2 linked regions of the Arabidopsis thaliana genome follow. The protein of the gene in region 2 interacts with the protein of the main gene of each other region in a pairwise test. Each region holds a gene or a part of one and is shown on either strand. Other genes may lie near its edges.

Region 1 (4,716 bases), on a different chromosome or scaffold from region 2:
GGAGCGGGACTTTAAAAAAGGAAACATATGAAAGAGACGTTGAAAACTTCAATTCCCAAAATACCCCCATATTATACAGAACAGAACCATAAGAGAAACATTGGTTTGCTTTGATTTCTCAAGGAAGAAGGGATGATCCAGGGGCTACCGTTGCTACAAGATTAAGGACACTATAAAGACTTGACTTAGAGCCATTCTTTTACATTCTGTTGAGAGTCTGGTTACAAAGCACATGTCCCACATGACATCAATCATAGGAAGATTATCATGACTCGATTGTTCCTTATAAACTGGAAAGACAAACACCAAAAGGAACTAGTTCTGCATCTACAAGAAGTTGTTCCATATCTGCCAATCCAGCTACAAATATCTCATAGGAAGGGAGTGACAGAGTAACCTGAGCTGATGAACCGGAATGTGATCAAAACTGATATTTGGTGATAAAATTCATAGACAATTCATCTCGAGGATATTGAAAGCATTATAGCAGAGCACCAATATAGAGATAAATGCACTTAGTTTCAAATTTAGGTCAATTTTTAGTCCGTTTCGAGATCATTATGGACGAAGACTCTTGTACTTGTGATCATTACGCTTGGTCCAACACTCTTAGAGCCAACTTGCAATCACAAATTTAACCTTGGTGACTTCAAAACTTTTCTAGTCTCATTATAAGCTACTAATTAGCTACAAAGAGTATTGAACATAGTAGATACATAGATCGAAACAAGATTTAAACTAAACTAAATTTATTTTTCTTAACACATAATTTACAAACTATTCACACTCTTTCTCTTCGCTTATGTTCTGTTTTTTTCTTATATGCTTTTATGACCAAAACTCCCACCAGTTAGGGTAATTGCTGCTAGATTGGTCTAAGAGAGAATCAGAATTGAAACCTCCCCAATTCTCAGAAGATGTCAAGCAACTATCATCAGCTTTCTCCACAATGTTCATCAGCTCATGATCAGTCTCTTCCTCGAACCCAAAATACTCTGTTTTAATGTTGTTGTTGTAATCACCATCATTACATAGAACACTCCCTTGGTCTAACCTCCCTTCTGGCTCACTCTTTCCATTATGCGACTCTGTGCTGCTGCTTAGAGCCAGTCCTTGATCACCACAACACTCATGATGCTTTTCTTCTTTAGGCCTTTGCATCTCTTCGTTTAGTCTCTGCAGCTGCAAATAGAGATTGATTAATATCAAATTAGGCAAAATGATCGAGAATTTACATCCCCCAAAAACCAATAAATGCCAAGACTGTATTTGCTATTTTATACTTTATAAAAAAAAAAGATCATTATCAATTATTGTTTCTATCACTGTTCAATTAAAGATAAAGATATCGATAGAATCATTATGTACCTCAGAGACCAGAGATTGCTTTTCTTTCTTCATGATTTCAAATTGTGAAGCCAAATTGTTGTAATTGGCTCTAAGAGTGTTATACTCTTTCTCAAGTTGCTTAGTTTTCCATCGAGCCCTCTTGTTTTGAAACCATATAGCCACTTGTCTTGGTTGCAGCCCTAGCTCTCTAGCTACCTGAACCTTCTTCCTCGGCTCAAGCCTCGTCTCAGACTCAAATATAAGCTCAAGTGACTTGATCTGTTCCTCGCTAAACCTCTTTTGGTTATTGCTCTTCTTCATCTTCTTCTTATTCATGGTCATGCCACTACTAATCTCGCTGAAACAGCAGTTGAAAAAATCTCCTTCTTCCATGGTTTTCACCAGATCTTGTAAGTTTCTTGATTTTGATTAAGAGAGAAGGTTTTGGAATTATTTGTTTCTTTTTTTTCTTTCTTTCTGGAATCTCTGAGTTGCTGATATTGGCCGCTTATATATAATGTGGGAGTTACTATGTGTGCTTGTGTAGGGCCTCGGATTTCTATTATTTTTTATATTTGGAAATTTCATTATTCAACCAAGACAAAATAAACTCATTGAATAAAAAGACCTGCAAATATTGTGGAACCACGGGCTAAAAATATACGTCCAAAATTTGTGGCTCGACACGAATTGGCTCATGTCTCTTTCAGTTTAAGTCGTATTTCATTTAGATGTGAACTAATCATCTAACTACTGATAATATTTTCATACTTTTTTTCCTTTATAATATAAGTATTATCAGCTTTTATATGTTTCATGGAAGTGATCAAGTGAATGATAACGTGGGTTGACAATCAAACGGGCGAACTGGCTTTGGTTACATCAATTAATCACCATACATATTTTACTTTTTAACAGTTTGGCCGTTCCTAAGAAAAATGAAGCAGTTTATAATGAAACAAAAAAAAAAACTCGATTATTTTGCTTTTCTTGCATATAAAAGGCATTTTTGAAAATAGAATTTAGCAGCAGCCTAGATGATCGTTGTACTATGTTTTAACATGCAACAACGTATATCATCATTTAACATGTGACTGCCAAGGCCTTGCGATACTTTTATTAGTCAAGATAATATTGATAGATAATCATTACGAAAGAGAGAGAAAGACGGATCGTATTAAGCAATAATTTTATTCGATTGTGTAACGAGATTCCACGTTCACATATCAGGATGTTTGACGGGTGTTAATTAGTGTGTTATAATTAAGATTAAAATAATCTCCATTTTCATTTGAGATTTCATTTGTCGTTACTCGCACGCCATACTTTAGAGGTCGGTTACGTGAAACACGTTTTAACGAGACTTTTCATTAGTGTATTATATACTATGTTCTAAAATAAACCTACTCTTGATTTATCTCGCTAAATTCCAAAAGAAGATTAATCATGGTTAAAATTGTGGCCGCATGTGGTAAGCTGGCAAATAATTTTGCAACTCTTCAATTCATTGCCCAAGAAAAATAAAAAATAAAAAATAAATTAAGATATATTTGCATATCACATACCGTACTATAGTTTACGCGATGTTTTACGCGTTTAATTTCGTTACACGGAAACAATAAGATGATCACGAGTAAGGATTATAGATTTATTGACTTCCATGCAAATGTTTAAAGTTTTAAACTCAATTATGAGATTTCTTGACTTTCTTGTAACTAAACAAGTAATCTGACCTAATTACTATCCTCTTGGTTTCCTTTTCAACATGCCGTTTTAGTTTTCTTCTAAAAAGTATACACAATCCAGAAAAGAAATATAAACCAGTGGTGTTCCTATTATTTATTTGACCTTTTTCCATTTTTCTAAAACCAATAGTACTAAATATAATATGAAATCTAAAAAGATTATTATACCTCTATTAATAAGCTAACTATTATGGATAGAAGTATCTTGTCTAAAATATATGCATTAAACATACAAAATAACAGTTTACATAAACAGAAATAAATTAAAATTCTACAACAATTACTTATTAGAAAACGAAGTCAGTGTAGTATGTTTTTTTTTAGACACGAAGTTAATATGTTTATTCTTACAAAATTACACAAGTTCCGTTCCGTCTTAGGCTCTGAAACACTAATTATCTTAACCATGGGATTTTGAAAGTTTGTAATTTTAAGCAACAATATTAATGATAAACGCAACTTATATAATTAATGTTCTAATGATTAGTTTAAGGTTACGTTCACCTTGCTTCTCGGAAATCTCTTTTGACTTATTAAATACAAACAACAAATTAAATTCGGCCATTTGTGAACTATGGCGGCTTCATCGATCCAACGTCACTTTAGCCTTAAGCCATTAAAATTAAAAAAATTATAAATAATCTATTACTTTGCTTTAAAACCAGAAAATTACTTCATGAAAAAAAATATTTGAATAGAATGACTTACATCGACTTATTTCAACAAGGAAATGGACGAAAGTTTTGGTATACAATGTAATGAATCAGATCTGTAGACATTTCAGACAAGTAGCAATCAAAGTTGTCAAGATCAACCACTGACTCATTGCCATTTGGCACCATTAAGAAAGCCAAGTTGATGAGAAGATGACGTGGTGATTGCTTTGTGGCTGTGTATGAAAATTGCGTCCGACAAATGTTATCACGTGTCGAGGTTAGCTTAAATGTAGCAGTTCTTGATAAGATGCGTAAGAGAAGATGATTCTTTACTTCTATTTTTTCTTTCATTTGTCTAAGAGAAATCTGGTTCTGTTTAATGATAAAGATTAAACTAGTAATATGGTTTTGAGAAATAAAACTTAAGAAATCAAATTTCGTCCTCTTTAATTAGATTTACATCTTGGCTATGATTTCTAATACTTACTAAACGTAGTTTTGGCTCATTTAATTTGGATAAATTTAACAGAACATATACATAAGACTATAGAGCCTTTTAAAGTCATATTTGTTTAATTATTATTTTTAAGGCGCCTTGTCATTTCATGTTTGTATTTTGCATATTCTTCCAACCTCTTGGCCTTGCCGCGTGTAAAGCTTTTGAAATATTCACAGATTTATAAATATGCACATTCTTCGTAAAGCTTAAATTTCAGTTAATGTATATGAAAATACATACAGGTAATGTTTAGGCTGTTAATTATGATGATCTACTGGCTAAAATAGCACAAACTGTCATTCGAAAATGATACTAAAACCTCGATTTTGTGAAAATAAATAAGTGATCATTAAGCTTACCATAAATACCATGTATAAATAAATACATCTGAAAAACGATGAAATGAAAAGAAATTTTTTTGATGAAATGAATATGATCCAACTTATTCAAGACAAGTAGGGTCCATGATAAGATGCCAATCCAATGA
Region 2 (4,716 bases):
GAGAAACACATGGACATTTCTCCGGTGAGATTCATCAAGCCTTATTATAATCTTCTTCATTATTTCCACAAAACAATGTTTACAATTTGACTGAAATAAAAACAAGTGACGAAGATGAAAAACACTACACCTACTTGCAGATATGTATATGTTCTTGAAACAATACATATCATTGGCTTGTAATGAAAATAACCAACACTAACACCGTTAACACAAGACATCATGATTTATGTGCTATCGTTAATGTTTATAGTTTCAAGAGAAGTGTCGACCTCAACAGCAGTTACTCGATGGAGAAGATTCCGGATGCTATCCACCCATGTCTGCTTATCAGCCTTGCTCTTGCACTTGAACTTTGTCAGACCTTTCCCTGTACCGATTCCGAAATAGAGCTCTTCTTCTGTGTTTTCCGTGTCTTTTCCATTTTGCAGGCCTGAGACTGTCTCGCATACATCATTTACAATGCCTGTAGTGATTCAACCACTGGATTATTGTAAAGCATTGGACAAAGTCCCAAGATCACTCTGCTTATACAAATGAACACCATAGACATTGAAAGAAAGAAGAGTAGCTCACTAACCTTTGCTTTTCATGGAGAATGCTCCTACAACGTGTTTGCTTTTGATTTCTACTATGACCTGCAAAAGAGAAACCGAGCAAAATTCAACTCTAGAATTCAACCAGCATATAACTTTGTTAGCTTCAATGAGTATTCGATGTTTAACCTGAGATTTTTTGTTGATGTACACTTTTACATGCTTCCACCGCAGAACACCTGGAAAGTCCATGAGTCAATTCATCAATCTCGTGGTAAGTGAAATTTTTTTGTTTCCAATTGATTCTTGAATTATAATATCATCATCATTCACAACAATTAGTAAAGAAGCTCTTACTGAAACATTACCGTTTCGTGTGCACTGCATTAGCTCTCCAGTTGATTCTTCAACTCCTTTTGCAGATATGAGTTCATCGGTCGTGCTAGTGCGATCGAGCTCAGAAGAGCAACTATGAGTCTCTGGTAAAACTCTCTCACAGGGGCTTATAGCTGCACTGTTCTTAGCTTCCTTTGGTAGTCTTACCCTCAAAGCTGCTTCTCCTCTCAATGCTACATTATCGAAAAACCGAGAATCATAATCGAATGATCAACTCAAAACTACAATGGACTAGTCAAATTCAATAGAGCGAAACAATCAAGGATTGAGAATTGAAGTCAAACAATCAATGTACCTGTTGCAGCTGCAGCAGTTAGAGTCAACAAATCGCCAGGTCCACGAACATCAACAGCTGATCGGACAGCAGAGACGACGCGATCGTGATCGGCGCCGGCAAGCTCCGCCAATTCGAGGCAGTGAGAAGCTAACAACTCCGACGCCGAGGCAAGGGCTGAGCTCATCTTTGATCCAGCGAAGCCGTCTTGATTGCCTGAAGCGGTCACTGCGGCGATTGCCGTCGCCAGAGACGCAATGGACACGGCGGAATGCAGATGAGCTTTCTCCACGCGAACTCTATCTCTCTTCTTTACGGCGGAGACCTTCCCGCCGACGAATTCTCGGTGGTGGAACCATTTTCCGATCGTTCCCGTTCTCCGCGCGTGAACCGCACTCGCTAGCTTTCCCGTCTGTTGAAGAAAGAAACAATTTAAACATTTTGGGCTTTTTACAGATTGGGTCTTAATATTATTATTTTGGTTCTATAAATATATTCTTGGCCCATAAACTTAAAACACCTAACAAATTGTTAGCATAAAGTAATAATTTCGTTACACATGAGAATATAATGAAAATTACTTTACACTAAAAAAAAAAAAGTATTTACAACATTATTGGAAAATAACGTCTAACTGTTTCACTTATTGTATCTTTGTGGCAACTACTGAAAACGACAACTTATTGTATGCAAATTTATAAACGTGAAAATTCAACTATTAAAATCAATTACAAGTGTATAATATTTTGATCCCAAAAAAAAAAAAGACTTCATTTGCATGCATCCAAGATCTTTAGTGAGTTTCTAATAGTACTATCAAAATTAATTTCCTTTATTTGATGGTAACGTACGATCATATCAACCATACGAACTTAATATACAATAAAGAGAAGATGAAAGCAAGAGACGGCTTACTTGTAGCGGCGGTGGTGGTGCTACCGGAGCCAGAGAAGTGACATCGGCCAACTGAGAAATATTAGGGTTTTTGTTGAGTTGTTTATCAGATTTCTGAGATGATAAAGCTAAAGAGATCTCAGAAGTAGAAAGACTCCATGATCTGCATAGAAACTCCATCGGCTCTCTCGGTGTTTTAGGCCGAGGAGGGATTGGAGGATACGTCGCCGGAGGCGAAGAACACTCCGACGTTTCGTTTTCTGGTACTGACGACAACGTCATGCTCTCTTCATCGTCTTCTTCGATTTCTTCCTCCTCTCTTACTCCTTGTAGTCCGTATGGAATCAAGTTCAACGTACGGTCATACTCCATTTAGATCAGATCTCTGATTATGAAAAAGAATCAAATATTCGATCACTTGTGCACTGTACAATAAATGTTTTTGTGTATGTGAAGATATCTTATAAAAATATGTGCACACACTGACACACACCATGGTTGATTTTTATATATAGAGAAAGAGATGGCTACACTAAAGAGTCAAAGAGAACATCTTTGACAAGGCACGTTTTATTGCAAGACGTGGATCTTGTCCCTGTTTTGTTTTTGATGGTGTACTTTATTTTAATAATTAGAAAATCAATCTTGAGGTTTGTGAAAATTATTGTTACATATTTTTCCCATTGAAACTATTTAGAGTAACCAAATTTTTATTGAAGCCATATTTAGTAGAATAACTCGAACTCCGATCGATCAACTTATATTGTGAACCTTTCACCATGAGTTGGTGAAGACTTAAGACACAAAAAATTATAACTACCTCTACATTATTATCTTCATGTCTTCATATGTTGTTTCCTATACAGACTTATATATATGTACAAACATTTTATTAAAATTATATCTTTGTCAAGAAATTTTTGTTCATTTATATTTTTATATAAACGATCAACGTGATTTCTACGAAGGTTAATATTAAAAAAAAATTAATACGTGGTATTTACAGAGGTTCAGAGATACTATGTCGATTTCAGATCGTAGATAATGTTGTGATGACATATTAAATTACCATAAACGTTATGCGATAAAGATTGCCTTCTTATCTCATCGGAATCCTTGCTAGGCAGGAGATCGAACCGCAAACAAGACAAAAATTTGTGTAAATGATAGACATCTACCTGTAAATAAAGTTGTTAGTTGCGGATTTAAGCGATTGATATATATCATAAAAATGATTAAATATTATTTATTCGGTTCAATATATATGAGACCTTCTAGTATGATTCCTATTTGATAAATTTCACATTTAAAATATGAAATAGAAACGATTGTTACAAAAAGATTACACCATAAGTTAAATTTCAATCACATCGATAAGACTTGCACATGGAAGCATAGAGAATTGATTGATATCAAATATTGACAATAATGTAGTTGAAGCAATTAGTTTTATGGACATAAATCATCTTATCAAAGAGTACTTTTTGTGAAAAGTTACTTCACGAATATCAAATGTTGATTAATTATTGAGTTGAAAATTTAACGTTTGATAGTTGACAATATCAATTCGTACGGTTACTCATTCATCATCGATTGTAACCGCTCACTCACCCACATCCACTTTTTTCACTTAAGCTAACATACAAATAACTAATAGACTTTCATCTTGACATATTGTGGTCATGATTTTGGTTGATACTCGATGGTTATGTTTATTACGTTATATTGGGAATGGTTTACCTTTCATATAGTTTTTTTTTTTTTTTTTTAACTTCTAATAGAACAATAGATGTCAAATGAGACTACTATCAACTGGTGGCTAATTCGTTTTCTTACATGTTACGTACCATTTTTAATTTGCGATCATGCTTTTGTATGATATTTTGATAGTTATATTGGCAGTTGTTATAAACTTACACATTATGTATCCTCATATAGTAAATATTTTTGTATTTATCTTTAATCAGTCCAATTCCAAACAAGACAAGTCATTGTCACTTTGGGACTAGAAGATAACCTGCATATATATTCTTTTCATTTAATGAAAACTAACCAAACTTCAATAATGCTATGAGATACTGTTGTCTGGTCCCATCATAGGTTAGACAGTTTCTATTTTCTTAGTCAACTGAACCAAAAATAATAATTTAGTCATATAGCTAATGTGGTTAATCAACTTTACAATAGTTTTGTGTAAAACATGAAAACGGAATTTGTTGTTAAAGTTTGGGAATACTTAACCGGAAGAATAAAAATTACGCACGTATGAAAAATATACATTCCCAACGTTTTGGCATGATATATCTATTAAACTAAAATTGGAAAATAAATTAGTAAATGAAACGCAAAGTTTTTCTTTTTGTTATTGACTCATTGTCATTGAGGAAGGTCACCGTACCAAAGAAGAAAAACTTGAAGAGGATCAATATCTTGCATGAGGGGGAATTAATTGTTTAGTTTGGTGCAACGTCATTTTCACTTTCACAATATGGCGGTGCATTCATAATAAACGAAACCTTATTGAATGAAACTTGCAAGTCCCACCAAACTTTACTACCCAATTATAATTTTCATTCCTCTTTTACCTTTTTAGAACTACAATACGAAATGTTTTGG

Evidence for each region. The genes of interacting proteins can lie anywhere in the genome.
Region 1: the proteins of AT4G16670 (region 2) and HB-12 interact in a two-hybrid assay, tested with the Arabidopsis thaliana proteins (one large-scale study listed by BioGRID).

What each region holds. Positions count from the first base shown.
Region 1 is NC_003074.8:22,913,518-22,918,233, forward strand, and holds HB-12 (homeobox 12), read right to left. Parts: upstream 1,877-4,716; 5' UTR 1,723-1,876; coding exon 1,369-1,722; intron 1,183-1,368; coding exon 829-1,182; 3' UTR 637-828; downstream 1-636. UniProt on the Arabidopsis thaliana protein: Probable transcription activator that may act as growth regulators in response to water deficit.
Region 2 is NC_003075.7:9,383,082-9,387,797, reverse strand, and holds AT4G16670 (auxin canalization protein (DUF828)), read right to left. Parts: upstream 2,619-4,716; 5' UTR 2,473-2,618; coding exon 2,122-2,472; intron 1,619-2,121; coding exon 1,228-1,618; exon of another isoform or gene 1,106-1,227; coding exon 905-1,105; intron 811-904; exon of another isoform or gene 776-810; coding exon 726-775; coding exon of another isoform or gene 639-725; coding exon 581-638; coding exon of another isoform or gene 576-580; exon of another isoform or gene 527-575; intron 467-526; coding exon 228-466; 3' UTR 44-227; downstream 1-43.